5 linked regions of the Nothobranchius furzeri genome follow. The main gene of each other region encodes a partner of the protein of the gene in region 2 in a complex. Links are inferred from orthologs where the notes say so. Each region holds a gene or a part of one and is shown on either strand. Other genes may lie near its edges. The genes, in order: mbip, tada2a, dr1, yeats2 and kat14.

Region 1 (6,632 bases), on a different chromosome or scaffold from region 2:
TTATTATTTACGAGATGTGTCTTCATGGATCCATCATTCGTTCAGTGCTTGGACCTCAGCAGGCTGAGTAAAAGCATTATGGCACCACATCAGCCCTACTTGAATGAATTTCATCCTCTTGTGGATGATATTTTAGTGGGAGCCCCACTCTTCTCTCTGGCTGCCTCAGCCTTTTAAGCCCTGGACTGAGGCTGAACGACCCTCGCTAAAAGGAGACATGTTGGGTGTGTCCATTTGGTTGAGCTAACCAGTGTGGCGTAAACCCATCCAGCTGCGCATTATTCCAATAGCAGCTAGCTTAAGGGCTAAGACTAGATGAAATAGAACATTGGTTACATATTCTAACCCCAGATTCTATGAGTCTAGTCGCAGCCCTTAAGCAAATGGCCCCACTGGTTCTGTTAGGATCAAGAGCCATCGGAGGCGAACAGTGGAGTCGCTCCACTTACAGGGGTGCCCACCATTGGTGGGCGTACATTTAAGCTCTTCATGATTGGCTGATGCTGAGATCACCCTTCCAATAGCAGCTAGCTTAAGGTTGATCAGTGGACTCAGTAGTCTCCTCTAAAAAGCAGCTGAAAACTCACCTGTTCAAGCTTTTGTGTGACCTCCAGATGATTTTTCCTCACTAGCTTCTATTCCTGCTGCTACCTCTACCAAATCGGCCTTTCTCATGATCCCATGATTACCTTTTTTTGTTCATTTTTTTTCTTCCTTCACATGTTTTGATCATTTTTTTCTTTTTTCTCAATTTTTTATGATATTTTTACCTTTTGTTTTTTGTTCTTGTGAAGCACCTTGTGATTTTTATTTTGAGAGGCGCTATATAAAAAATTGTTTCTTCTGTTTCTTCTTCTTCTTCTTCTTTAAACTATCCTAATTCAGAACTTTTATATAAACGCATCCATGTTGAAGTTCAAACCAACAACAGCAGTTCCTTCTGAAAATGTTTTGATACGAACACCAGAGCAAATCAATCATGAGCAAATAATGTCTACAGAAGGGGACTCAGGACACACAACTTCTGTTTGAAAAGATTAGGTTAATTTTCACGTTTGTATTTAGTTTCTCACACTTTACATGTTCTAGTACCTCTTCTGCTGTGTTTGGTGTAATTCATTTATTTTCCTGTATTTATTTATCCTTTACACTAAAGTGGGCCAAACCATTTTGTCACCACATTTGCATTTTCACTGTTGCATCTATTAATCACTGAAAAATCTCACCTATTGAAGCTATTTTCACTTTTATTCAAACGTACAAGGATTGTGGAAAAACCCTCGGCTCTGCACTGATTAACATATTGTTCCTATGTTTTGTTATGCTTGACATGCACGTTCCTGGGCTATCATAATAATGTCTGTTCTATGTTTCATTTTGTTTTTATTGCTGAAAATTGGGTCTTATGTGTGTGTTTGAATTGCTGAAGGAAATAAAGATGTAGACTGAAGCTGCATTCTTTGACTGCTGCTGACCGAGTCATATGTAAAAGTATTCGCATATAAAAAAAAGGCTGTTTTCAAATAAATACATCACCAAATTTGGACTGTCTGGTATTTATTTGCACATATGCAAATGAAAAATACATTTAGCTAAATGGTTGTTTATGTTCAATTGATGGCACGACCTGGAAATTCCCGATTAAAACATGCAATTACAAAGTATTGGTATTTAATTTAATATATGATGATGTAAGTATTACCTCTTCTGTTCTTTATGATTTTTCAACTAACAAGATAGTGAAAGATCAAGTCAGACCCTTAGCTAATGAGCATCTGCAATTTGGCTTCAAAAGTTAAATTCAACCAAAATGCTCTAAGTATTTTCCAAGAAGTACCTTAAATCACATATACAGCTCATTAAAAGGGTAAAAAAAATTACAGCTCTTGGGTCTGCAGCCAGGCAAATTAAATGAGCAGTGTATTTAATTTCAGAGCTCCTCGCTGTGTGGGAACATTTAGCAACTGCTCAGCATGTCAAACCATGTCAAGTGTTACAGTTCTCTTCCTGTTTCACGGGAAAAAATATCACCCTACAAATGAATTAAGCTAAAAAGGCTTATCTTCAGAGCCCTTCCTAAAATGATTAACCTTTCTAAAGAGCATTATTGAGTTCTGAGTGCATGGTTGTGCCGTCTCTTTGCCTGTAATTGTTCTTTTTCTGTTGTTTCCTTCATCAGTCTCTCTCTTCATTATATGAAAAGAAGTGAAAAATGTCTGAATAGAGAAGGGAGATTTTCCCACAGTCACTCAACTCAGAGAAATACACCATTGTGGGCAGGTTCCCATCCCAATGCCCTGCTGCTTGGTCCTCTGCAGTAAGAAGCACAGTGTGCTTATAATAAGGAGCCATTCTTTGTGCTGTTTGAGAAGCAGGTGAATGAAAACGTAGGCAAATGTGGCTTGGACATGTCAGTCAGTATTGTAAAAATGTAGACAAGTCCATTTAAACCAAGATTTAAAAAAGAGTTTAAGTCATAAAGCACCTCAAAAATCAGCACAATAAAAACATTAGTAGTTTTTTAAGAATAAAACTTATTTTATATGCTTTATACAAATAAGACATGACCTTATGAGCATCCTCTGAGAAAAGGCAAACAAATATACTGAACCTAAATAATATGTCCATTTCAAAAGTTAAAACATTTTCTGTTTATTTTTCTCTGCTGTTTTTTAAACTATTGTTTACTTTTTTGTTATACTGAAACATATTTCACAATTTTAAGCATCTGTACTAGTTTATTAAATAGTTTAAATTAGTAAAAGTTGACTTTTGCTTTCTGAATGAGCCTTCTAGAAATTAAATCTCCACAAACAAAAACAAAAGCATCTTTCTACCTATGATGAGCCCTCTTTAGGATCAAACAAAAAAAACTATACAGGTTTTTTAATGTTTCAGAATCTATTTAAAGATCAAAATTCTGAGCAAAACACAGTAAATCATTTATTTTTGTGCTTTGAATTTACTTTCATGCGCTACTGTTAATGCGCATGCGTCATTTTAGCCTGCAGTTCCACCAACCACGTGATTAAAATCACCGTCTCGCAACCAATGAGCACGCAGTATTCCATGAGTTTGAGTAGCAATGGCGGAGACAACGAAGCTAAGTGAGAGCAAAGCTCCTCCCAGCGAACCAGCTAAAATGTCCAGTTACAAACACTGCATGGACGCAATACTGGGGCTGCTTTCAGACTTTGGGAAAGAGGTTGGTGTGAAATGATTCAGCTGCTTCGCTCCGAATAGTCATTCCAGTCTGAGTAGTTTCCTAGCGGTGTGCTAATGTTTTTAGCAACTAGCCTCGTCGGTTCATGTTCATTCACTGTCCGTTAATCAAGTTTTTGCCGTAGGAAAGCGTCAGCTCGATGGTTTATATCTAAATTAACAGATTCAGTTTTAATATTTGTATTTCTGTGCAATAAAAACATGTCCAGACTTTTGTGTCACACGTCAGTTTAGGTTCAAATCACGCTTATTTTCATTTACCCTCTTTTTCCATATAGTAAACGTTCACGGTTTTTGGCATTTTTACGCAGTATTATGTAATTTTTGGTCCTGCAGGTAAACGTTTATTGATGCCACTGTCCACAACGCATTTCTACCTTAGAAAATATATTTAACCTTGCTCTATTTCCCCCCGTGTTTACGTCTAAATTATTAAAATTGCTGGATGCTTTAGCTCTTTTCATACCCAGGGCTTCTAAAGGGACATTAAATATATGTATTCAGTCTTATATACACTGTTTTTTTTTGCTAAATAATGGTTTAGTTTTTCTAGCACAGCAGAAAGGTTCAGTGTAAAACAATAAGATTATTTAATTTGACCGTTTATAGAAGCAAATTATGAAAAATTGCTTCTTTTTTAATTACCAAATTGTTGGTTAAATTACTTAAATTATTTAGCATTTTCTGCCTCTACTATTTTGAACTATATATTTTTTATTTAGCTGTGGTGATGTGTACTTGATGAAACTCTTGTTTATTTTCTCTCAAAGCTGAAATTAGGGGATGCTGCTTTGAGAATAGAGGTCAACCCTGGAGCTGTAGTACTTTCGTCATCTTCAGAAGCAGGTGTTTATGGCTGTGTACAGCAGCACATTGCTAAGTTGCAGGTAAGACATTCACCCGTTGGTTAATTTATGTTACATATGACTGCAATATCTAATAAGTGCCACATTTACAGTATAATTGATGGTCACTAGTGTTGTAATTAAAGAAATAATAACACTAATTTATAATGTGTTTGTAGCAGTCAGTGTTCTTTCTGTTTGGCTGTAGGCTGTTTCAGAAAGCCTGAGGTCACTGGTGGAAGCTGATGTTACATCTGTGAAGGAAGACACGGCGGATAACATTGTCACGTCACTATCATCCGAGCACCGGCGTCACAGCTCAGAGGCTGCAGACTGCGGGTCTTCGGGCGATGACGTCATGGTTCAGATCCGAGCCGGGAAGTCAGAGGTTGGTCATTGTCAACAGATCTGTCAGCTGTTCTGGCACTGATATTTTAGAGCCCTTCACACTCTGTCAAGCAAATGAATAATCATAAGTAATTGGTTCCAAGGATGTGCACATGATGTGCAGCAAATGCTTGATGGAGTTCTGATACTGGGTTTGACAGAGAATAAAGGGTTCTGTAGTGCTGTGGTGGGGTAGAATGGACCACATTGCTGGAGGGGTTTGAGAGAGGGCCAGGTCCTTGATGGATTATGAAGTGGATGCTCATTACTCTGAGATTGCATGTGGATGAAGGACAAGAGGCCCCATTCTGTTGTGCATTTATTTTGGTAGCCAGGCAAACCGTATTCTTATTCCATCACATGATGACGATAATCTATTCAACTGTTTGGGCTATCTGGAATAATTTCTCTCACTGTGTTTGATATTTTTTGAAACCATAAATCGCTGAACTTTGTTTACTCTAAATCAGTAAAAATAAGTCGACAAAACATTGAATTCTTCACAGCTATCAGTGGCTCATCAACCCGTTGTGTCTTATTATCTGTCTTCTCTGTAACTCCAGATCGAGCGAAGAATATCTGCATTTATGGAATGCAAGCAGATGGAGATCAATGAAAACAATGTGCGCGAGTTTTGCAACGTGATCGACTGCAATCAGGGTGAGAACGGAGGAGAGATTGGGGGGCAGGGTGGAGAGGGAGGCTGCACACAGATTGCCAATGTTTGGGAGAGAGCTGATTTCCACAGGCGAGAGGTCAGGCTGAACTGCTCCAAGAGTGGGCCTGAAGTAGCTAACACACTCGGCCTTGAAACGCAACCTGCTCTGGCCAGAAAAACACCAGACACACAGGCTGTTTGAAATTCAAAGCTTGTGTGTGACGCCAGTAATGGAAATCAGACGAAGTTGCAGTTCAAGTGTGGTGTATTCATTTCTAATGTTTTTTTTTATGACTATTTTCTTCTTACATTTAGAAAGTCTAATTACACTTTTGTTTTGGATTTGATTCCTTTGTAGAAAACAGCTGTGCCAGGACGGACGCCGTGTTCACTCCTTACCCAGGCTTTAAAAGCCACATTAAAGGTAAGAAAAGGGGACTCTTTGTTGCTCTTACGTTCAAAAATACACTCATCATCACTAGCTAAATTATTTTTGTTAACAATTTGGTAACAAGCATCATGGATGCTGTGTGATTTCTGTAATGTGCATCATTTAAAATTTGGTTGGTTCATCCGAGTCTGTGATTATTCTTTGGTTGATCAGTTTCACGAGTGGTAAACACTTACGGGCCCCAGACTCGTGGCGGGGGGCGCCAGGGAGAGGCTGCAGAGCATCATAGGGGGGCAGCTGCAAGAGACTGTGGAAATGCAGCCATAGAGGAGCGACTTCAGAACATGGAGACTCACCTGAAACTGCCGTCAGGTGAGAGAAGAGAGACAAGTGATGCGTCACACATCCTGAATAAAACTGTACAATACAAATAATATAGATATTGTGACATGATGAGCACCTTTTTTTATAAAATATCAACAAGAACATAAATTCTTGATGTTTTTCTTAAGTCACACAAAAAAGAGTTAATCACACTCAAAGATGCACGGATTCTAATTTTTATGGCCGATACTGATTTCTGAGTTTTCACTACTCTAACCAACCAATGATAGTGATGGTGTGTTCATGGACTAGGAAAAAAAAAACAGATTTTATTTTTTTTGTCTTTAACTTGAACAAACTGGGGGAAAATCTGATTCTCAGGTGCTGGGTTGACTGATCACCTTGTCATGTTGAATATTGGCTGATTTAAAACACCAGATGATAACTACGTACATATTTTTGGGGAGAATCTTGTCACACGATGATTTCTCTCCCTATTTTCTGGGTTTTGTTTTAGTCCTTTTTTTCCCAGTCTGGTGTATGGAACATATTATATTTATGTTTTATTCCTCAGTGGGTCCGGTTCCTCTGACCGTCTACCAGCGACTGAAGACGTTGGAGGATCGAATCCTGGAGCTGGAGGGACTCTCTCCTGAGTACTTTCAGTCCACGGTGAGTCTTCTGGATTAAACACACAAAGCTTTTTCAGATAACATTACAGCACAGAGATCTGCATTAGAAACTAAACTTAAATGATGACAGTTCACATAATGTAGTTCAATGCAAATTCAACCAGTGCTCTCTT
Region 2 (5,895 bases):
AGGCTCGTGCACGAGGCGCACAAGCTGTACGTGCACACTCCTTAACAAAAATAACAGGTGAGACAGCCCCATGTGTGTGTGTGTGTGTGTGTGTGTGTGTGTGTGTGTGTGTGTGTGTGTGTGTGTGTGTGTGGCCCGGAGGACAGGAGAACACGCAGCTAATTAATTAAATAATGTGGTTCTGTACCTTTCTCTTCAGCACAGCCGACAAAGGTTTAAGATGGGTCAGTCCTCCTGCATGCTCAGATCATTCCCTTCCCTTGCTTGAAAAATTGTTCCAAAATGAAATTTGAACCCAGATCTTTTTTATCTGTGAATTCAATGCCGTTCGGCAAGTCTCAAATAAAAATTTGGGCCTCTTACTGTAAAAAAAAATACAATTAATGTAAAAAATGAACTTTAAATAAACTGTGTTCACATCCAGAATCAAACCCAGGTCTTCTACACGAGAGTCCGATGTCTTACTAGGTGAGCTGTCTCCAGTGACGTCCTTGGTATCTGTAACATTTATATCCTTGATGACAGCTGAAACAATGTTCAAAGAACGGTTCGGAGTGAAAATGGCTGTTTTGTTGCTAATTTGCAGGAAATATCTAGAAGAAAGTTCTACAGAAAGTAGCTAAGGGTCCTCAGAAATGTAGCTAGCTTTGTCACTAGGCGTTAGGAACAGCGACAAAGTGGCACTGCCTCTCTCTCTGCTGCTAAAGCTACAGATAGCAAATGCTACGGGCGATGCCTGAGCGTGAACGCGCATGAAGCAGCCTGCTCGACCCGAGCATCTCTCTTTTTCTGTGATTTTACAGAAAAACAGGCAATCACAGTAAAAATGCCAGGGCTCATTCTACAGGACCAGGGCATTGCAGGAGAATGTATGAAGAAGACATTTATTATTTCTATACATGTTTTGGCTGTCACACTTCCATAATGCCCTTTTAAGGCTGGTGGTCCCCTGGAGGTCCAGCGATCCCAGCCTGAGGGCCACAGTTTCAGAAAACGCTGACTTGACTGATTTAACTTTGGTTGCTGGAGAGTAAAAACTCTCAGGAAAACCGTTTTTGATGGGCACACTCAAACAGCTGTGTGAGGGTTTTCTGATGGCTGTCGTTTAAAAGAAAACATCCTCGGTCTCTGGGAGTTGAAATCTTTTCCCTCCAACACGGAGAACATTCTATGGGACTTTTTACAAAGTGACACAATTTCCTTCTTTCTAAAAATGACCACCAGCTGAGCGTGAACCACTCCGTGTTCTGTAGCGACTGAAGAAACTGATTCTGGCTAGCACAGCCTCGCAGGACGTTGGTCCTAAATGAGCTTTTAACAAAACAAACACCTCTTTAGGTGATATAAACACATCAGCATCATTAATGTTGGAGCTGAGCTCAGAGGGAGACGAAACTGTTTGCTTTGTACTTTAGAATGAGCATAAATGTCATTAATTAAACCAGAGAGCTTAAGAGACCTGGGGGTGATTTCTCAGGCGTATGGCGCCATCTGCTGAAAGATGGAGGTTATTACAGGTTAATGAGTACTTTCTTCTATCACAAATAATACAATTCACCCACTTCTTCCTTCTTTGTCTCTCTTTTAATCTTGAATGATAAATATCAACGACAGCGAGCTTGAGGGCTGTGAGAGAAGCAAACACCACATGGAAAAGTAAAGTCAGCCACCTGAAGGTCAATCAGACGGAAAAATAAAAATACTAAAAACAAAAGTCCTACGCACCACGCAGGATATCTGAGTCATCGTCCACAAAGTCAATGTCCTTCAGGTCCCATTCTGCATAGTTGTCGAACTCCTGAGAGAGACATGAAAAGGGTTTTCACAATCTGCTCGTCTGCACCGAGCGACGATCAACAATTTATGAGAAACGGGTCTCAGAGAGGCAACAACAAAGGTATGAGTCACTGTTTCAATGAGGGTTCATCTCCAGCCCCCTAGTGGCGACTCTGATGGTTTATTCTTGCAGGTCACACACACGCACACACACACACACACACACACACACACACACCTCCATGAAGTCCGCTCTGGCCGGCATGTAGCCCGCCATGTCCCGAGACAGCATGGAGTCGAACGTGGGCCGGGGCGGGTCGTCGGAGGCTGCGGGATCAGAGGAAAACCAAAATCAAACTTCCTCTTTAACACATTAATGACCAGGAAGCTTAAATCTACCCGCTGCATGCGAGCAACACCAGAACCGACCTGCTCTGACAGGTGGAGGGTCCGACTCTCTGCCGGGTCACTTTCACACTTAACTGGTAAACCTGGAGAACTTAAATTCGGAACACCTGGCTGCTTAAAAGCTACACAAATCAGAAATGACCCGAGACCTTTGAAAAGTGTGGGGCGACGATGGCACAGGAGTTAAGTGCTCGCCCCGTAATCAAAAGGTTGCAGGTTCGAGTCCCACTCAGTCTGTTGCTGTCGTTGTGTCCTTGGGCAAGACACTTAACCCACGCTGCCTGCTGGTGGTGGTCGGAGGGTCCGGTGGCGCCAGTGCTCGGCAGCCTCGCCTCTGTCAGTGCGCCCCAGGGCAGCTGTGGCTACATCGTAGCTCATCCCCACCCGTGTGTGAATGGGTGTGTGAATGGGTGAATGACTGATTGTGTTGTAAAGCGCCTTGGGGGGTTCCAGGACTCTAGAAGGCGCTTTATCAAATACAGGCCATTCAAAAGTTCTGTGATGAAGCCTGAAGTAACTACGACATCCTGTGGTCTAACTTTGTAACTGCAGCCCTTAACAACTCACTTTTTCACTACTGATTTTGGGTTTCAAGGCTGTTTCCCGCCACGGATCAGCACCAGAAGATTCTAGATGACAAGTAAAGGTGAGTCGTACACAGGAAGCTGATAGGTGGATAAATACATTGTCGTATCTGGTGTTAGCTAGCTTGAATTGGACTGTTTTCGAAGGACAATTTATTTGGGAAGAAGGTTAAAAAGTTACCTGTTTGTTTATGTGCACCTGTTATTACTTTAACTGTTCACCAGTGAGTGGTTATTGGCTCTTGCGACATTCTCAGCTCCTATGGACCGAGGTTAGCGACGTGTACATACTCAGAAGGGCTAACTAATGTGGCTAGCCCAGCTCTGGCTTCACTTCCTGTTCAGCTGCTCTGAGCAGAGATTGCGTGATTCAAGCGATCTAGGTTCCAGTGGCTTCTCTCTCTAAAACTTTAACTTGAGAGAGTCTGGAGAGCACCGGACAACGGCGAGTCCATCAGAAGCCTGGAGGCTTGGCGGCTGTTACATCAGTGCGTTGCGTTGGGAATTAAGACATAAAACGTCACAACGGGGTTGGAAAGGTAAGATAGTCGGGTGTATCAGAGATGGACAGGAAGCTGAGTACAGAGAGCTGGTGGAGCGCTTTGTGGCATGGTGTGGAAACAATCATCTGACCTTGAACGTGAACAAAACAAAGGAGATGATTTTAGACTTCAGAAGAAACAGGGTGGAGTCAAACACTGTTTCCATCATGGGAAAAGAAGTGGAGGTGGTTGAGGAATACAAATACCTTGGAGTTCACCTAGACAACAGACTGGACTGGAGAAAGAACAGCCAAGCCGTTTACAAGAAGGGACACAGCAGACTGCACTTCTTGAGGACGCTTAGGTCCTTCAATGTCTATAGCAAGATGCTGCAGGTCTTCTACAAGTCTGTTGTTGAGAGTGTAATCTCTTCAGCCATCGTCTGTTGGGGTAGCAGCATCAGAAGCAGGGACCTGAAAAGGCTCAACGGCCTAATAACAAAGGCTGGTTCTGTTCTGGGGACGACTGTGGAACCGCTGGAGGAGATAATGCAAAGAAGGATTCTCCAGAGAATCAAGAACATGATGGACAACCCTGAGCATTCTCTTCACAAGACTGTCCGACAACGGAAGAGTGTCTTCAGTCAGAGGCTTCTTCAGTTTGGCTGCAACACTGACCGCTACTGGAGATCCTTCCTGCCAACAGCCATTGTAATATACAACAACTCTTTGATGACTTGATTATTCAGAGTATCTGCAGGTTTAAGGGAGCCAAATTTAAGACTTTTTAAGACCTTTTTTAAGGCCACTTTGACCAAATTTAAGCAATTTTTTAAAATGAAATTTGAGCTATAAATTCCAGCTATTGCCTGGAACCGGTGCTAACCACGACGCGAATGTGGGATTAGCCATCCAGTTACCATTAAACTTGCACTTCCCCATGGCGCAAGCTCCCACTAGCTTAACCAGCTAATGTGCTCATCTAAAAATAGCCCCCTTTCACAACCAACTGAATTTGGTTCCGCTTACGCCAATATCATACAAAAAAATGCTGAACTAGAAATTCACGAACATTTTATAGAAATAAAAGAATCTTGTTTATTGGGTCGTTGGTAATTTAAGACCTTTGGAAACTGTATTTAAGGATTTTTGTCATTTTTATGGATTTTTAAGGCCTTAAATTTGGAAAAGCTAATTTAAGACTTTTTAAGGACCCGCGGATGCCCTGTTATTATTATTATTATTATTATTATTATTATGAGCTACTACAGCAATCAATTTCCCTCTGGGATTAATAAAGTATTTTTTAATTGAATTGAATTGAATTGATGTTGTGTTTCTTATGGATGTTAGCATCGTGTATTCTGGAGGTGTAGCTTAGGAGCAGGAGCCAGTAAAAGAGTGCTGGCTGGACCTTTGAATTGTGTTTTTTTAAACACAGGGTCAACTCTTCTCTACCTTTAAAGGCATTTTGGTCAAATCTTGAATATGACATTACGACAGTCTCATACAGCATTTCAGGATCACTCGTGTTTCAGCTCATTTTAGCTCAATATCCATTCAGCTGGCTGAATTGATGCCATCACAGTGTTTGCTAAGGCTGCTTGACTGTGACGGCCATCCTGAACAATGCTGATTCCAAAAAATGACCCAGCTGTTTCAGAGTGTGGTGGTTAATGAGATATTTAGCCAGAAAAATAAGCAAAAATGAAAATTGTATTTCTTTTGTAAATAGAAAAAAAATTGAGAAATAAATAAATGCAGATTTCTCACATCTAAACGGGATCGCCCCATCTGCAAAGTGGGAGTCTTTTGTTTTCCGCAGGCCGAGCAGCGTGGAGGAAAAGAGTGGATTATTGATGAAATTCTTCATGTAGTGGCTCTCACATTCCTCTTTAGTCTTTGTGCGCATCTGGTATGCCACGTCATGCCTGAGGACACAGAGAGTGGACAAACGCAGCATTTAATCTGGTTCAGACTCATCTGAGAGTAAATCAGAAGGTAAAACAAACACTGATTCTCCGAGTTTTCATCAGAATTATGATCGAAAGATCATTAAGTTAAACTAAGCCAATTAAGTCTGTTAGAGAACGGCACTTTCTCACATCTACATGGATGAAAATGGCTGACATTTTTTCAGAAATTCTAATTCATGTGTCTCCCTACATCAGATATGCAATTAATATTTAACCTGTGAGCAAACAGCAGCTGATTGTGATGCAGAGCGTCAACCTGGAGGCCACGAAACACTTCAACCCCTAAATAATGACAACAGTGAATGTGGGAAAGAAACGGACCTGAGGCAGAACAAAAACAAACTGCTCACCAATTCCCAAACCCACAGTCCATGACGGCTTCAAGCAGCGCCATCTCCTCCTGTGCAGTCCACCCGGGCTCCAGCACCGGGAAGTCTGACGTCTTTAAGGAGGGATGACACAACGAACAAAGTCAAACGTGTGTTTTACAACAATAAGGAGATGCAGCAAATTCTACTCACCATGATTTCATATTTATGATCACTCTGATGCTTCTTGTACTCAAATCCTCTGGTGAAACACTGAAAACAGTGAGATTTAATTCAATACCATCAGATTCAAGACAACTAGACTGTAACCGTTGATGTAGGTTCAGTAGATTCTTCCCAGC
Region 3 (5,164 bases), on a different chromosome or scaffold from region 2:
CCGCTGAAACTAACTGATTGCACTTTCACCTCCTGTTTTCGCACCGCAGCCCTCGAGAGCCTCGGTTTCGCGTCTTACATCACGGAGGTCAAAGACGTCCTGCAGGAGTGTAAAACTGTAGCTCTGAAGAGGAGGAAGGCCAGTTCTCGACTGGAGAATTTGGGTATCCCGGAAGAGGAGCTCCTCAGACAACAACAGGAACTGTTTGCAAAGGTGAAACGTCCTCATGCGTGAAGCTTGTGCTTTTTGAATGAGCATTCTTGTTTTCCCTTTTGCCAATCAGTAATCGTTGGCCTGGGATGAGCTCTGAGTGTTTATTTAGTACTTTAAACTTATCTGTATAGCTGAGAATAAACAAAACAACAAAGTTATATTCATTTTTATTAATAACACATCGTAACATTTAAGAAACGTCCTGGTGAACATCGCAAATGAACAACAAAGTGCAAAGTTACAAAAATACTGTTATTATTAGAGTGAAGCAGATGATTTAGTTCATTGCTGATGTTATTCACGTTTAGCCTTTTTAAAGATTAAAAGTCATTGTGCTGCCTTCTAGGGTTGTCACGATACTAAAATTTCAAACTCGATTCGATACTGGGAAAAAACTCGGTACTCGATTTCGATACTATTTAAAAACACCAATTTATTGAACAAGTTTATTCAAAAAATAACATTCCTCAATTTATATTGCAAAAGTTAAATGTTAAGAATTAAGTGTGTAAAGTGCTTAAACCTTTCAAGTATCAGCATTTTTTTAAACGTGCATACAAAAACTGGTGAAAGTTAACACTTTAAATCATGAATTGTCCCACTATATATACACTATTTGCAGAGTGATGTTTTGCTGCTTAAACTCTGTTTAAGGTGCATTTTTGTCATAAGATGTAATGCCATATGTTTTGTTCTGTACTTTTGAACAACTCTGTTGGTCAATAAAGGGAGAAAACTAATTTCTCCTCAGTAGGACAAAGGTACATCTACCGGTAATCTTAATAAAAACAGACCAGCGCACGGCAGTGACGTCATTAAAAGCGCCGGTTAGATTAGCCGCGGCTAGTCTGTTTACGCCTAGAAATCCCAGACCCGCTCCAAACGAACAGGGGAATCACGTTAATGATTCCTAACAAAACCTTTCGACATTGAGATGTTTTGGTGCAGATAATGTCTTATTTCGAGGCTGCACCATGGGTGCCCGTCCGCACCCGTTATACGGATATACACTGACGGCGATTCGCCGATGGATCTACGGTAAATACCCCGGGGAATCCAAGTAGCACCAAAGTTGTCAGCATGAGTAAACAAACGTACTGCATGCTAGAAATTAAGTCCGGGTTGCAATAAACGGGAGTTTCCTTTAAGCACATAAGCGTGAATATACAACTACTTGTCGGACTTGGTATGCTAATTAAGTTGGGCTGTGAAGCGCCTCCCAAATTCGCTGTTTTTGTTTATTTTTTTTGGCAGACAAAACTTGGATCGGAGACAACTCGCGTGGGAAATTGCAATGTAGCAATGCGGCGTCTTCTTCTTCTGTTTGTCTGGGAGGCGGAGGCTGCTTTACGGCATCTGGCTGTCGTGCGTGTCGGTGTACTTGAAGAAGGCTGTGTATAATAGTCCATAATATCGATACCACAGGGATGGAATATCTAATTTAGATACCACTTTTAGCATCGATTTATATCTGGGTATTGATTTTTTTGACAACTCTACTGCCTTCTCCAGGTCAGGGATGAGGTCCTGCCCCAAGTGGAGGAGTTTGAGTATCTTGGGGTCTTGTTCACGAGTGAGGGAAACATGGAGCGAGATCGACTGGTGGATTGGTGCTGCATCCGCAGTGATGCGGGCGCTATACCAGTCTGTTGTGGTGAAGATAGAGCTGAGCTGGAAGGCAAAGCTCTCAGTTTACCAATTGATCTATGTTCCTACCCTCACCTATGGTCACAAGCTTTGGTTAGTGACCAAAAGAATGAGATCGCGAATACAAGCAGCCAAAATGAGTTTTCTCCGCAGAGTGGCTGGACTGTCCCTTAGAGATAGGGTGAGAAGCTCGGTCATTCGGGAGGGGCTCGGCGTAGATCCTCTGCTCATCCACGTTGAGAGAAGCAGTTGAGTTGGTTCGGGTATCTGGTTAGGGTGCCTCCTGGCTGCCTCCCTGGTCAGGTTTTCCAGGCACATCCAACTGGGAGGAGACCCAGAGGAAGACCCAGGGCACGCTGGAGGGACTATGTCTCTCAGCTGGCCAGGGAACGCCTTGGGATTCCCCTGGAGGAGCTGGGGAGAAGGAAGTCTGGGCCTCTCTGCTTAGGCTGCTGCCCCCGCAACCCGAATCCAGATAAGCGGCTGAAAATAGATGGATAGATGGAAAATTATTGCTTTTCCTGATTTGTTTTTCTGTATAAAGAAAAAAAAAATCCTAACTAAAAGCTGAAATATAGGCCTGCACGATATTGATCAATATTGCTGTTTCACTGCGCCTAATATTATCTCAAAGGATTTTAATAAGTTGCTGACACTAACTTTTGACTATCAGAGGTTTCCACTCCCATAATGGCCCTCGATCAGCACACCATGTTCTGTATGAATCTTTATGAATGAACATGGAGTTTCTGTTGCTGCTGTTCATTCATTTATTTTTACTAAATCTGACCAGTAACTAAACTTAAACATTCTGCAAATTTACACCTTTACCTAAGCTTTGCTTTAAAGTAAACACTGAAATGTGGTTTCATTTTAGTTATAAAATGTTCTAACTGATCGTTATGTCATGTAAAACATCTCTTTGATGGCTTTACGTATGCACAGTCCTCAGGAAAAATAAAAAGCTCTTCTTGCTTCTCTCTGGTTCTGTGGGCCGCGTGGCTGCAGGCCCGGCAACAACAGGCAGAACTCGCCCAGCAGGAGTGGTTGCAGGTGCAGCAGGCTGCCCAGCAGGCACAGATGGCGGCCGCATCTGCCAGTGCAGCCCAGCAGGCTGGTTCCTCTCAGGATGAAGATGAGGAGGATGACCTGTGAACTCCGGATGTGGGTACATGTTCGGACTTTGTCCTGGGACACTGCTGGCACACGTATCTTCCAGCGTTCTCGTTGGCGGAGACGTCTTTGAGCGCTGAAAATAAGCACATTTGAAGAGAACAGTGAAAGAGGAATGGGCCCCATCCAGATCCTAGTTCCTGGAAACGATTTGGATTGAATGGCTGAGTTTTGTGTTAACCTTATGTTCCCCATATAAGTTACTTATGTGAAATGAGCTCTTTGATGTTCTGTTGTGATTGGATTTGTAGTTGTGAACACACTGAGAGCAGATACTGGGACGCGTCAGCGACTCAAGCGTCAAGTCTCTGCTCCTTCAGGTACATCACAGACGCCCAGTCCTCAGTCGGTGGTTTAGATGAACTCGTTTCTCTTTATTTGATTATTGGTGGTCACTTTTACAGGAAAGATTTTGTTTTCTCCCTTAGCATTTTTGTTCAGACAGTGAATTTGTTTGAGGCATTGTGAATATTGAATTTGTTTCGTTATGTAGAGAAATAAATAGACCTTTTTTTTTTATTTTAGCTTGTTCTGATATTTGTCATTTTGTTCTTCCTTAGAACCGCCCACAGTATTGGTAATTAGCTGCAAAGTTGAGCAAATTAAACTTTTATCTCATAGAACCAAAGATGGAGGACAGACTTACTGCTCAGACTTTGTTTTTAAAAGTGTAGGTGCTACCGTGATACTTACTGCTGACTCCAGATCAGTGTAAATGATGTGAGGAACCTTGTGAGATGCTTTTGTGTTCAGGCTGAAATGATTTCCATTTTCCTCTGGAGCAGTATCTAAATATCTTTATTGTGACTTTGGTCAGCCCTCAGCGTTAAAAAAAAACAAGTTGTGAAACAGTCATTTGTTATTCTACAAAGTTGTATTCTTTAAGCAATAAAGAAGTGTTTTTATAGGTCAGTGTTCCATGTTTGCTTTAAATACTCATAATAAATACTTTATTGTTTACATAGCTGAATGTGCTAACAGCACAATCACACAAAAATGATCAATGGAAATCAAATTTATCAACCCAAGAAGGTCACACTCAAAAGTAAAGTTGATACACACTACAGGCAAATCCACCTTTGATATAATGTAAATGCCCTGTATTTGATATAGTGCCTTCTAGAATAGTGATGGGAATTCCAGCTCTTTTTAGAGAGCCGGTTCTTTTGGCTCAGCTCACCAAAAAGAGCCGGCTCCCAAGTGGCTCCTCAGATTTTCTGTTGCGTAGAGTACATTTATAACCAAAATAATGCTAAACTATATGTAAAATAATTTACTAATGTAAAAAAAGCAATATATCAATTGTTTATAATTTCTATGGATTTAATAACTGAACACTTTAAGAAATCTCCACTTTCCGACTGCTGGCGCTCATTTTCTCACCGTCTTCGTCGCACTCTCCTCTCTCTCGCTCGCCTTTTCCCTCCTCCTCATTCCCTCTCGTCTACCTCCACCCGCATGTGCTCTGCTGTGTGTCTGAGTCTGATCCTCCCTCTTCCCCGCCCCTACTGCTCTGTGTGTGGACGGTCTGGACACACAGTTCCACATGTTGACCAATCGCCTGTAGCTTTCACCAAGGCAGGGGGCGAGGGGGTAGGGGACGAGCCGGCTCCCGTCGTTCACTTCAAAGAGCCGGTTCATTCGCGACCGACACATCACTATTCTGGAGCCCCCCTAGGTGCTTTACGACACAATCAGTCATTCACACATTCAAACGCAGGTGGGGATTACCTACGATGTAGCCACAGCTGCCCTGGGGCACACTGACTGAGGCGAGGCTGCCAAGCACAGGCGCCACCGGTCCCTCTGACCACCACCAGCAGGCAAGGGGGGTTAAGTGTCTTGCCCAAGGACACAACAGTGACAGACTGAGGGGGCTCGATCCTGCAACCTTCCAATTACAGGGCGAGCACTTAACTCCTGATCTACCGTCACCCAATGTCCTTCAAACCAGTCAGAATGAGGCTTGGTAGTGTGTCTGGCCTCCATGCGTCTGTATGACCTCCCTACATCACCTGGGTATGCTCTTGAGGTGGTGGATGGTCTCCTGAGTGATCTCCTAGTTCTGAACTAAAACATCCGCCAAATCCTGGACAATCTGGTGCAACGTGGCATACGTGCTGTCCCACAT
Region 4 (4,904 bases), on a different chromosome or scaffold from region 2:
CATTTTGTGTTAGAGTTATACACTTTTTCTGGCCTTTGTAGTAGTGTTATTAACATTTTGTTAGTGTTTATGGTGTTCGTCATATACAACACTGTGTTTGATGCTTAACTTACATTTTATTGTAATGTGATGCTGGAAATTTGGTGGGGGTTGGGTGAACCATGGAGCTGGTCCGAGTGTGAAGATGTGTGTTTGGTAAATGTTTTTGATATTTATTCTCTATATTTATTATTATTATTTAGCAAATATTTCTCGTTTTTATTTATTGTACATGGTGGTAGCTTATCTTGTTAAAGAGGACCCTCACGACAACGAGATGGCACATCTCATGGGGCTACTCCTCTTTAAATATACGTTAATAGATAAATAAATATTATGCAGGCCAGGACAGATGATTTTATTGATGCCTAACTGTAGCAAACATTGATCATCTAGGTCATAACTATACAGGTGCTGGCCAGTAAATTAGAATATCATCAAAAGGTTGAAAATATTTCAGTAATTCCATTCAAAACGTGAAACTTGTACATTATATTCATGCAATGCACACAGACCAATGTATTTCCGATGTTTATTACGTTTAATTTTGATATTTATAGGTGACAACCAATGAAAACATCAAATCTGGTATCTCAGAAAATTAGAATATTCTAAAGGCCAATGAAAAAATGTTTGTTTCTCTAATGTTGGCCAACTGAAAAGAATGAACATGAAAAGAATGTGCATGTATAGCACTCAATACTTAGTCGGGGCTCCTTTTGCCTCAATAACTGCAGTAATGCGGCGTGGCATGGACTCGATCAGTCTGTGGCACTGCTCAGGTGTTATGAGAGCCCAGGTTGCTCTGATAGTCGTCTTCAGCTCCTCTGCATTGTTGGGTCTAGCGTATTGCATCCTCCGCTTCACAATACCCCATAGATTTTCTATGGGGTTAAGGTCAGGCGAGTTTGCTGGCCAATCAAGGACAGGGATACCATGGTCCTTGAACCAGGTGCTGGTGGTTTTGGCACTGTGTGCAGGTGCCAAGTCCTGTTGAAAGGTGAAGTCTGCATCCCCATAAAGTTGGTCAGCAGCAGGAAGCATGAAGTGCTCTAAAACTTCCTGGTAGACGGCTGCATTGACCCTGGACCTCAGGAAACAGAGTGGGCCAACACCGGCAGATGACATGGCACCCCACACCATCACTGACGGTGGAAACTTTACACTGGACCTCATGCAACGTGGATTCTGTGCTTCTCCGCTCGTCCTCCAGACTCTGGGTCCTTGATTTCCAAAGGAAATGCAGAACTTGCTTTCATCAGAAAACATAACTTTGGACCACTCAGCATCAGTCCAGTCCTTTTTGTCCTTGGCCCAGGCGAGACGCTTCTTGCGCTGTTTCTTGTTCAAGAGTGGCTTGACACACGGAATGCAACACCTGAATCCCATGTCTTTCATGAGTCTCCTCGTGGTGGTTCTTGAAGCGCTGACTCCAGCTGCAGTCCACTCTTTGTGGATCTCCCCCACATTTTTGAATGGGTTTGTCGTCACAATTCTCTGCAGGGTGCGGTTATCCCTAGAGCTTGTACACTTTTTTCTACCACATTTTTTCCGTCCCTTCGCCTGTCTGTTAATGTGCTTGGACACAGAGCTCTGCGAACAGCCAGCTTCTTTAGCAATCACCTTTTGTGTCTTGCCCTCCTTGTGCAAGGTGTCAATGATTGTCTTTTGGACAGCTGTTAAGTCAGAAGTCTTCCCCATGATTGTGGTGCCTTCAAAACAAGACTGAGGGACCTTTTAAAGGCCTTTGCAGGTGTTTTGAGTAAATCAGCTGATTAGAGTGGCAGCAGGTGTCTTCTATATTCAGCCTTTTCAGAATATTCTAATTTTTTGAGATACCAAATTTGGAGTTTTCATTAGTTGTCACTTATGAATATCAAATTTAAATGTAATGAACATTGGAAATACATTGGTCTGTGTGCATTGCATGAATATAATGTACAAGTTTCACGTTTTGAATGGAATTACTGAAATATTTTCAACCTTTTGATGATATTCTAATTTACTGGCCAGCACCTGTAGTATTAAAGTACTGTTGGCTTTAGATTTATACACATTTAATACTTTTGCGAGTATTTCTCCCTGCAGGAGAATGCCTGTGGCTGCAAATCAACTGCCGCAGCAACAATCACTAGAATCATAGCACCATTAATCCAAAGCATGTGTTTATATAGATATCTATATATATGTAACTATGACAAACACATCTAATTAAAATTAGACTTTGGTCACTCATAAATATGCAAATAGACCCAAAAACTAAGAGCCACTGATGACTTTATTCTAATCTGGGACTGAAATGATTGCCTGCAAATATGGAGGTAAGTGTCAATAAATAACTAGTAAGAACATGAAGTCAAATAGTTAAAAAGAGCAAAGAACAATAAAGCGTGAAACCAACAGCCTGGAGATGTCAAAGAAACAGAAAGGATGTGCAGCATGAAAAATAACAAACCTGTTTGGAGAGGATTTAGCGTGGGCTCCAGCTAGAGCTTCTCTCAGGATATCACTGGCAAACTGCTGTGTAGCCTGCAGTACGCAGACACACACACACACACGCACGCACGCACACACACACACACACACACACACACACACACACACACACACACACACACACACACACACGTGCACACACACGCACACACACAAAGTCTTTAATTGAATTTCTTTAATTTCACCAATTCTGGGGAAAAAAAACCCTATCTTCTGTTCCTCCACATAAAAACTAAACACTTCCTTAAAAAATCCCGACTCACTGATTAAAACCGAGATAAAATCAGCCCCTGTAAACCTCATTAAAGTCACTGACCTTGAGAATCATGGCCTCCACTACAGGAGCAAAAACATTCTTCTCCACCTCCACCGGCTGAAAGCTTACCCCGATCTAAAAGACACAAAACACCTTTAGCAAAGAGAGCAGAACCGATGAAACTTAGGAACACACACAGAGCTCACTGACCTGCTGAGCTGTTTCACTGACAAACTGGGAGGAGATGCAGGGACCCAGATAAAATTTCGGCTCCACATCTGTTTCCTGCTCCTCCTCTTTGACCTTTAGCCTCTGGCAGGGCGGAGTCACGGTAACAATGTCGACTATTTCGTCATCTGCCTCCTCTGGTTCGGTTTTTAGCAGAGCTTGCATCTGCTCCAGCCTCTGCACCAGCTCCTCATAGTTGCTTAGGGTCGACGGGCACTCTGATGAACAAATCCATAATTTTATTAAAGCAGGACAGCCTAACATTCACTAAAGAATATTACAGTTGTGCAACATAAAGCAAGATTCGCAAGACAGAAACGTTGTCTGGCTCAGGCGAGTGACTCATAGAGAGTCCTCGTCTCTCACCTTTTAGAGACAAAGGACCAAAACGGATTTCAGCTGAACAAAAGCACCAAGGCTGCACACCGGCCGCCCTCACAACCACATACACATCACTGTATCAAGCGGTAACTGCAGAAGAGCTGTACAGAGCTGCTGAAATCCAAAACACACACACACAAAAACTCGCCCAGCAGGTCTCCCTACAGAGGACTCGTTCACAAAAACAAAACTTACCAGGCTCGCTGTCGATTTGCGTGAGAATGTCCTCGATTGACTCGTCTTCGTTTCTGTGTTGAGGTTCAGGGTCGGGAGGCGTGTAGCCCCTCTGCCGGCACCACTGCACCACCTCCTTGGTCTTCGGGGGCGTCAGGGCCTGCAGGCGGGGCGAGCGGTCCAGCACGTCCTGAACCAGACGCTTCACCGCCACCGCTCTCTGAAGCTACAGAGACGGCCAAAGATCAGCTCATTTTAACTCGGAAGAGTCCGATCACAAAGTTTAAGCATTGTAGACCCTCGCTGCTTAAACTATTTAGCAACATGCATGAATAAGCATTAATATTCACGGTATCCCACATACGGCTCAGAATACAGTATTAGTCAAAGAGATGATGTGGCAGAAACACACATCCAACTAGAGAGAGAAGAGATGCAGCTGGAAGACGGATTAAAATGCAAAACTGCAGCCGCGGCGAATCATCACGTCGTGTACTCCATCAAAGTGAGTAAAAACACGGTCATACTTCTCTTCTCCACAAGAACAGCAATGAATCATTTACTATGTTGATGAAACACGAGGCTAGTACAGCATGAAGACGAGTAAAACTGAAGATAACGGTGAGAGGTGGACATAAGATTTCATCAAAACAAAATCAAAAGGTTACCTCTGACGCTCTGCGTTTGCCAATGTTCCAAGAATAATACTGTTCTACTGAGGAGGCACAAAAGGGATGGGAGTCTTCAGCTATGTAAAAATAAAGCAGCGTTACATTTAAAGAGTGTCTTCAGTCGGTTTATAAATATGAAATCTAATTGTATTTACTTTTTTCTGGCACAATTAGAGGAAACTTCTTCACCACAGCCGTCAGCAGCTGCATCATGGTTTCGATGTGCTCAGTGCTGAGAGGAAAGAGCTTTGGATTAACATCAGAACATCATCTGCATTTGTGTTTAAAGAGACAGCGGCGTTGCTCTTACTTAATGAGGCAGTGTGCTGAGTTATCTGTGCCTTGTTCCTGTTTGACGGTGGTGGCTGCAGAAGCAACATGGACAGGGGCTGGAGCAGCAGCCGTCGCCAGGGGCGACGGACCAGCTGCGACGGCACCTGGTTCTGTTTTCACTGTGGCAGCGGAGAGCGACAGCAGATGTGTATATGTGGGGGAGATAAATGTTATTAGGAATCACAAACATATTTAGACTTGTATAAAAGATTATTACTCTGAACTATTTCATCACAAATCAACACATGTAATTTATATTTTAAAGGGAACTAGGCAGTCTTGGCTTGCTTTTGGCACCCCCTAGAGTCCATTTATAGAACTGAAAG
Region 5 (6,578 bases), on a different chromosome or scaffold from region 2:
GCTACGTCAAACTTCAGCTCTTGACTGGGGTGAGGATCAGCACCTCTAGAAATGGTTCTCACATGGAGAAAGGCCTGGGTAAGGTCCCAGGTTCCACCCGAGGAGATGGAGGAGGTGACGGAGGAGGGGACCGATCAGGCTTCCCTGCTAGAATGCCATTGTGTAAAAACTTTACTAACAACTTAAAAGTTGTTTTCTTTGTGCGACGAGTAACGTCTAAAACGAGGTGAGCACAAGAAAAGTCCAACAACAGAAAAGTTTAATCAGCTGATCAACAACAACTCGTATGGATCTAGGTCTACGCAGCCTGGTGAACAGGGTGGAGGCGTCAGCGCCGCAGCCGCAGGAAGAAGGCGTGGCGGCACTCTGTGCTGTCCACAGGGTAATATTTATCATAGAAGTCCAAGATGTACTCCTCGGCCTTGAAGCCAAACTTCTGGTAGAGTAGCATGGCCGGATTCCTGGCCGACACGTGCAACGTCACGTCCTTCCCCATGCACGTCTGAAGGCACAACAGCTGTTAGGGTCCAGGCTTTCTCGTGTAAACTACCTGCCCGCCCCAACAGGACTCACCTGGATGAGATGGTAGATCATGAAAGTCCCGATGCCGGCCCGCCTCCACTCCGGATGGACCAGCAGGAAGGAGATGTAGGCTTCGTTGTACTTGACGTCTGGCACCATGAAACCAAAGCCAACCACCACCTTCTTATAGAGAACCACCACGCTAAAGTCTGGGTACTGCAGGCATTCAGACAGGTCCACACCTGCAGGAACACACCTGGAGGTTTGACTCGTGGTTGACAGGCGCAAGCAAAGGAGGGAGGCGGAGCCATGTTACCTGGCCAGAAAGTGTCTTGGCACATGGCGTTGACGGAGGGGATGTGGTAGGGACTGACGTAGCAGTAGTCAATGGGGGCGTCCGGTTCAGCGACCCAGTCTGGATCCTTCCTGTGGGGGTATGCTCTGATCTCCTCCAGCAACCTGAGCTTCACCGGGCGACTCTCGTAATCCCTCCTGTGGAGCACACAGCTTCTACGTGATACCTGGGCCTGGGCACCTCTGGAGCGCCACCTGTAAGGCTTTCGTACTCCAGCAGGTAAGACAAAGTTTTCAGACTGGCCTACCTGATGAACGGTTTCAGGAGGCGGGACGTGTACGGACTCTTGATGCTTTTGTCCAAACTGCCTTCAGCTCCCATCAGACGGTGCCAAAAGGACACGGAGCTGTGCTGGACACGCCTTCGGCTGGAGACGCTGGTCTGTAAACACACAGATGGGTTCAGAGACCAAAGCTGAATCTGAGCCGATGGTGTTAGCTTTCAAGGGAGAAACGGCACAAAAAGGTCAAAGGTCGAGTGAGAAACAGCTGGAACGTGCTGCTGATGTGAAATATGGATGTCTTCTAAAGGTTTGGAGTTGAGGAGACAAGCAGAGACCTGAAAACGATCCAGAATCCGCTGCTCCTGGCGGCTGCTGCAGTATTTCTTCTTAGCCCCGCCTTCCACATGTGCCCCCGCCTCCTGCGCATCATAGATGCCTCCCACCAGGCTGAGGGTGGCGCTGATTGCTCGGTCAACGTCTAGCAGGGGGAGCCCTCTCTGGCGTTTGGTCTGGCGGACCAGCAGCTTCCTGTGGAGGCGTTTGGCATGTGGAGTGACGGCCAGCGCCAGCGGGCAGGCGTCCAGCCGCAGCAGCAGCAGCCGCTCCTCGTACAGGCTGAGCGGGACCAGGCCCGGATCCCGAAGGACAGCCACTTCGTTAGATTTCTCAGGATGAGTCGCCCTCCGCCGCTCGGCTGCTCTGACGCCAACCGGACCCCGGCAGGAAAGAGTCGGGGCCTCTGCCGGCTCTTCCAGGGAGTCCTCGTTCTGGTGGCCATCATCGTCTTCACTCTCAGCTTCCCGTTTGATGTGGGATGGCGCCGCTGGGCGGAGCTTCTTACGGCCAACATGGCTGGTGCTAGCAGGAGGGATGTACTCCACCCCTGGGTCAATCATCCCTTCAATCTCATCGTCATCTGAAAGAGGGAGGCAGACAGGAGATGACATCACAGCTGACACCACAGCCCAGCACGAGGATGAAATGACTCACCGTGGAATAATGCCTGTGGCGGCATGGCGTCCGGAATTAGGTCCGCCTCCGAAAGAAGGCTGGGTGTGGCTGAATGAGAGGCAGGCGTTCCCGGAGCGGAGAAGTCGGGCGATGGAGACAGAGATGGGCTGGTGAGCGGTGTTCGGTCCGAGGAGCTGAGGGATGAGAACTCGATGACCTCGCCTTTTTCCAGGACCACCTCAGACCGGCGACTGGCACCCCCACCGCGGCCTCCGCTTAGCTTAACGGGAGTGGAGGAGGAGCTGCGGTCAACGTAGCCTCCCACTGCCTCCTTCTGGGCTCGGCGGATGTCTTTGGCCTCTTGTGTGCGGCAACGCTTCTCCTTCAGCTGCATGGCGTTCTCCACCGGGTTCCTGGCTCCACGTTTCCTCAGACCTTCCACCGTAATAATCGGGTCCATCACCGGTTTAGAGACTGTGAGTGAACGACACAATGGATCAGTGGGCGGAGCTTTCTCACCTGAACATAACTGTGACAATGCATCTCACCTTTGACCTTAGCGATGGATTTGTCCCCATCCGGTCTCAAGGTGGGAGGTCTGTTCTGGACCAGCTTCCACCAGCCTGGTTCTCCAAACTCCTGCGCACCAGAGCGGAAGAAGGTGGGACTTCCGACAGAAAGGCAGCCAGCGACTGTGCTCCACCACGTTGACGTCTTCTTCCTGCAAACATCATTAGCATCTTCACTGATCCGAGTTAAAGATTCAGCAGAACTTGTGATGATTCTTTCAACGGGATCGATCGGGGCTGGGATGTTTCCTGGCCCTGGAAACCCATCTTCCCTCCATCATCTGTGCAACTGTGGATGTTTAAAGTGGGTCAAACAGCTCAGGTTTGAAAGGGAAGCCTTAAACTCTGATTGGCCAGGGTCTCCGGCATGACTTCTAACTCACCTGTTCCCCAGCAGGAAGTTCCAGTGGCGGCCAATGAAAGCGCAGATGTCCTCCTTCCACCTGAAGTAACCCTGCCGGCCTGTCCCCTCCAGAGACAGGTTGTACATGGCCAGCATCACCACCTGAACACAGGATGTTCCTGTTTAACAAGCAGGAAGTGTGTGTGTGTGTGTGTGTGTGTGTGTGTGGTACCTGCCCTGCTGAGTCTGGGTCATACCTGCTGCCAGGTGAGCCTCATCCTCTCAAAGCTCTCCTTCCTGTCCTCAGAGCACTCGGAGCAGAAGAACTTAAAGAAGTTGTCTCCTTTCAGGTAACTGGGCTGGTCACCGTGGAGCTCAGCTGGACCAGAACCGGGTCAGAAAGACAAAACCCTTTAGGATCGCAGCAACCACACACACACACACACACACGGTCCTCCATGCTGTGCTGTGACTGGCTGACCTGCAGGGATCCACTTGTGGCAACGTTCGCAGTAGAAGGACATGTCCTCACAGGCCCAGCCTCCATCCGTCTCCTCGCCCACGTCGCTGGTCAGAGAGTCCCCGCTCTGGTCGTGGGACAGGTCTACGGAGCCCTGGTCCTCAGACTCTACGATCAGCAGAGTCTCCCCCTCTACCTCGCCCTCCTCCAGACCCTCAGAGGCGGATGTTCCAGCCGCCTCGTCCTCTGCCGCTGCCAGCTGCTCACTGCTGCTGTCCATCTCTGGGCACCTGTGGAGGTTACATGGGTCAGAGAGGCACTCTCTTATTTGTCCATCCAGAAGACCCATGTGGACATTTCAGATACAACAATAGGTTCAAACTGGATCAAACCAGACAGAGAAGTTCTGGTCCTTCATGTCATCTTTGTTCTATACAAGCAAACACAGCTGAATGACCATGTTTCCTGACCTGCCTCAGGTGTCCTGTGACTGAAGCCTCTCCTCTCCTCTCCTCCGCTCCTCCTCCAGGTGTCTGGTCAGAATCCTCTGCTCTTCCAGTAGCCTCAGGTTCTCTTTCTTCCTCTCCACCCGCTCCAGATCCTGAACCACACCCTCACGCAGCCTCTGCAGGGTCATTAAAAACAACACGTGACAACAGGCCCTGCTGCGGAGTCACGTCGGCTTTAATCTGAACCCAAGTGCAAGATAAAAGGGCCTACAAGAGACTCAGAACCATAAGCACAAAGAGGCTCCTCCTGCAGAGCAGAAGTAACACAAATATGGGTCCGTTTCTCACATAGTTCGGGTCTAGATTCTGGCTGGACCGCTGCACCTTGGTTCTGTTGTTGATCTGCTGCTGTGTTGTCACAGACTCGTGTGTGTGTGTGTGTGTGTGTTAGATATCAGGATGCTGGACTCCTGTGGAACCGGCCCAGGCCATTAGCCCTCCACCACCATGTTGACAGCTGGGGTATGAGCTGTTTGTGCAACAGTGAATTATGGGTAATCATCTCACATCCGGGACATTGTGAGCTGCCAGCCAGTTTATTTCTATCACTTCCTTACAGGAAAATTATTTACGCTGGTTTTGGGTCAGAGGTCAGGTTAAATGTCCTGTAGTTCGGTTGCTGCTGGACCGGCTCGATTCGCACACTTACCTCTCGATCCCAGGCCTGGTTTAAATGGACCGCTGCCACGGTACCCAGCGTCAGAAGCACAGAAACACCCAGAACCACTTTGGAGGCTGCCGACATCACGTTGGGTCTGACTTCAGTTAGCCAGATGCTAACAGGCTCCTCGTCTGCACTACCGGAAGTTATTCTTCTTCTTCTGTTTATTTTCACTCCCATGAGCCACAGCGGCCCCTGCTGGTGGGGAAATGAGCTGCAGGCAGCCATCGTTGAAGGTTTCTTGGTAACAGAACAAAAAAAGATGGTTGTGGTGCTTTTTCAGCATTTTTTATGACGTTTTACCTTTTTTCGGCTAAACATTTATGCGACGCAGGCTGAGAATGTACATTAGTATGTGCACATAGTTTTGGAAACCAACGTTTTCTTTTTATTCGTTGTTTTTAGTGGTTGGAGTTTACAATAATAACGTATGGCCAAGGTGTGTTTACCTGTAATCTGATCATTTCCTTCTTTATTTTCTTTAAGTGGAGCAAGTGAATTTCCCCTCTGTGGGATTATTAAAGTCTATTCCATTCTATTCCAAGATAGGACCTGTTTCTCTCTCAATGAGGAAAAGGAAATTTCAGTGTTCATGTGTGTAAATCTCTTATCATTTATTTCATTAGTGTAAATGGTTCAGAAGTAGCTAGTTTGTTAACTAAAGTTTTGGAAAATCACCCTGACCGGAAAGTTGGAGAGGAGCGATGATCTTAGCAGTGAGGAGAAATGTAAAACACGAAGAAAAAACCGGAATCATGCAGCTTAAAGTCTTGAATCAAGATTGAAATGAGCAGAAATGGTCAAAGTTTGAGGAGCAGAAACGTTGGTTTTAAATCTAAAAGAATTAAAAGGTTTTTCAGTGTATTTGAATTTTGCAGAAAGAATTATAAAAAAAAACACAAAGAGCTGAGCTTAAAGAGCAAGTCTCCCCCAAATAAACTTTTTTTGCTGATAAACTAAATAAACGAGTGTCTAATCGTGCTACAGACACGTGTCGTCAATAATTTGGCACTTCAGTGCATCTTAGTTAAAATTTAAATATTCTGCCTAAAACTGTCAGTGTTGTGCCGTTGTCAGGTAAAAACTCTGCACTGTATTTGAATTTAAATCTGCCACCACTATTGGCTAAGAGGTATGCTATGATGTCATCTGGTACATTATGATGTCACAATGCTGTCCTGAGCCTGTGTGTGTGTGTGTATTTGTTAGCAGCTCCGCCCTCTCGGTCTGCCAGGCAACAGCATTTGTTGCATTTTTCAAACATGAAGTGGGAGTGGAGTAAGACTCTGGTAGGGGGTGACTTGCTCTTTAACGTTTTGATTTAAAATTAGACTTAGAAAACCTGCAGAACTAGAAGTCATGCAACAATGCTGCAGCAGCAGGATAACATAGAAGCGGTCCCTGGGACGTTCCTGCAGGTCTGACGCACGACCTGGTCACCCGTAACCACACAGGGCGTCTCTGCAGATGGGAGCCAGTTTTATTGATCATGGAACATAAATAGGACAAATGTTTCACTGAACATACAGAGTAGAAATAAATAGTGTCGTAGCAATAAATTAAATCATGAAATGAAGCTGAGGGTTGCCGAGGAGACGCTGCGGTTGGATGGCTATTTACACGCATTTCATCGTTCCACATTTTAACTTTGTGCAGCTTTCAGCTCACATTATCGTCACATTCTTGGTTTCGCATTTCAGAAAGTTCAACAAGTTAAAAAACTAAAAAAGCAAAAAGTGGCTGATTTTTAAACACCTTCAACAGCGTCGTCACAGCTTAGTCTTTAACACGTGTTCGGTATCAAATACTTCAGTCAGCAAAATACAAAAATATCACACAGACTTCTTTTAATGACAGAAGCTCTCAGCTTCAGCTCAGCTCCTAAGAACCAGAACCAATTGAACTGGTTTGACCCAGACCAGCATGAGTCTCCTGGAGGAGGTTCTGAGGGTCAAACAGCTGGGTCAGACCCAGAGTGGGGTCAG

Evidence for each region.
Region 1: tada2a (region 2) and mbip share a complex: the UniProt entries of both Homo sapiens proteins name them as parts of the ADA2A-containing complex. The link is inferred for Nothobranchius furzeri from reciprocal best matches to the Homo sapiens genes TADA2A and MBIP.
Region 3: tada2a (region 2) and dr1 share a complex: the UniProt entries of both Homo sapiens proteins name them as parts of the ADA2A-containing complex. The link is inferred for Nothobranchius furzeri from reciprocal best matches to the Homo sapiens genes TADA2A and DR1.
Region 4: tada2a (region 2) and yeats2 share a complex: the UniProt entries of both Homo sapiens proteins name them as parts of the ADA2A-containing complex. The link is inferred for Nothobranchius furzeri from reciprocal best matches to the Homo sapiens genes TADA2A and YEATS2.
Region 5: tada2a (region 2) and kat14 share a complex: the UniProt entries of both Homo sapiens proteins name them as parts of the ADA2A-containing complex. The link is inferred for Nothobranchius furzeri from reciprocal best matches to the Homo sapiens genes TADA2A and KAT14.

Annotation. Positions count from the first base shown.
Region 1 is NC_091758.1:21,135,891-21,142,522, reverse strand, and holds the start of mbip (MAP3K12-binding inhibitory protein 1), read left to right. Parts: upstream 1-3,046; 5' UTR 3,047-3,085; coding exon 3,086-3,205; intron 3,206-3,992; coding exon 3,993-4,109; intron 4,110-4,275; coding exon 4,276-4,455; intron 4,456-5,017; coding exon 5,018-5,114; intron 5,115-5,470; coding exon 5,471-5,536; intron 5,537-5,716; coding exon 5,717-5,875; intron 5,876-6,401; coding exon 6,402-6,499; intron 6,500-6,632. UniProt on the Homo sapiens protein: Inhibits the MAP3K12 activity to induce the activation of the JNK/SAPK pathway. Component of the ATAC complex, a complex with histone acetyltransferase activity on histones H3 and H4.
Region 2 is NC_091753.1:55,048,081-55,053,975, reverse strand, and holds part of tada2a (transcriptional adapter 2-alpha), read right to left. Parts: intron 5,807-5,895; coding exon 5,747-5,806; intron 5,668-5,746; coding exon 5,576-5,667; intron 5,181-5,575; coding exon 5,023-5,180; intron 2,104-5,022; coding exon 2,015-2,103; intron 1,799-2,014; coding exon 1,726-1,798; intron 1,627-1,725; coding exon 1,563-1,626; intron 1-1,562. UniProt on the Homo sapiens protein: Component of the ATAC complex, a complex with histone acetyltransferase activity on histones H3 and H4. Required for the function of some acidic activation domains, which activate transcription from a distant site. Binds double-stranded DNA.
Region 3 is NC_091756.1:58,160,979-58,166,142, reverse strand, and holds the end of dr1 (protein Dr1), read left to right. Parts: intron 1-49; coding exon 50-213; intron 214-2,868; coding exon 2,869-3,015; 3' UTR 3,016-3,940; downstream 3,941-5,164. UniProt on the Homo sapiens protein: The association of the DR1/DRAP1 heterodimer with TBP results in a functional repression of both activated and basal transcription of class II genes.
Region 4 is NC_091751.1:55,948,311-55,953,214, reverse strand, and holds part of yeats2 (YEATS domain-containing protein 2), read right to left. Parts: intron 4,698-4,904; coding exon 4,556-4,697; intron 4,478-4,555; coding exon 4,401-4,477; intron 4,323-4,400; coding exon 4,243-4,322; intron 3,801-4,242; coding exon 3,596-3,800; intron 3,238-3,595; coding exon 3,002-3,237; intron 2,927-3,001; coding exon 2,852-2,926; intron 2,569-2,851; coding exon 2,495-2,568; intron 1-2,494. UniProt on the Homo sapiens protein: Chromatin reader component of the ATAC complex, a complex with histone acetyltransferase activity on histones H3 and H4. YEATS2 specifically recognizes and binds histone H3 crotonylated at 'Lys-27' (H3K27cr).
Region 5 is NC_091746.1:29,631,678-29,638,255, reverse strand, and holds kat14 (cysteine-rich protein 2-binding protein), read right to left. Parts: upstream 3,704-6,578; coding exon 3,445-3,703; intron 3,343-3,444; coding exon 3,221-3,342; intron 3,126-3,220; coding exon 3,004-3,125; intron 2,773-3,003; coding exon 2,600-2,772; intron 2,526-2,599; coding exon 2,091-2,525; intron 2,017-2,090; coding exon 1,436-2,016; intron 1,259-1,435; coding exon 1,125-1,258; intron 1,015-1,124; coding exon 839-1,014; intron 765-838; coding exon 574-764; intron 503-573; coding exon 329-502; 3' UTR 238-328; downstream 1-237. Other genes in the region: protein PET117 homolog, mitochondrial, read right to left, coding at 3,899-4,048, 4,582-4,821. UniProt on the Homo sapiens protein: Component of the ATAC complex, a complex with histone acetyltransferase activity on histones H3 and H4. May function as a scaffold for the ATAC complex to promote ATAC complex stability. Has also weak histone acetyltransferase activity toward histone H4.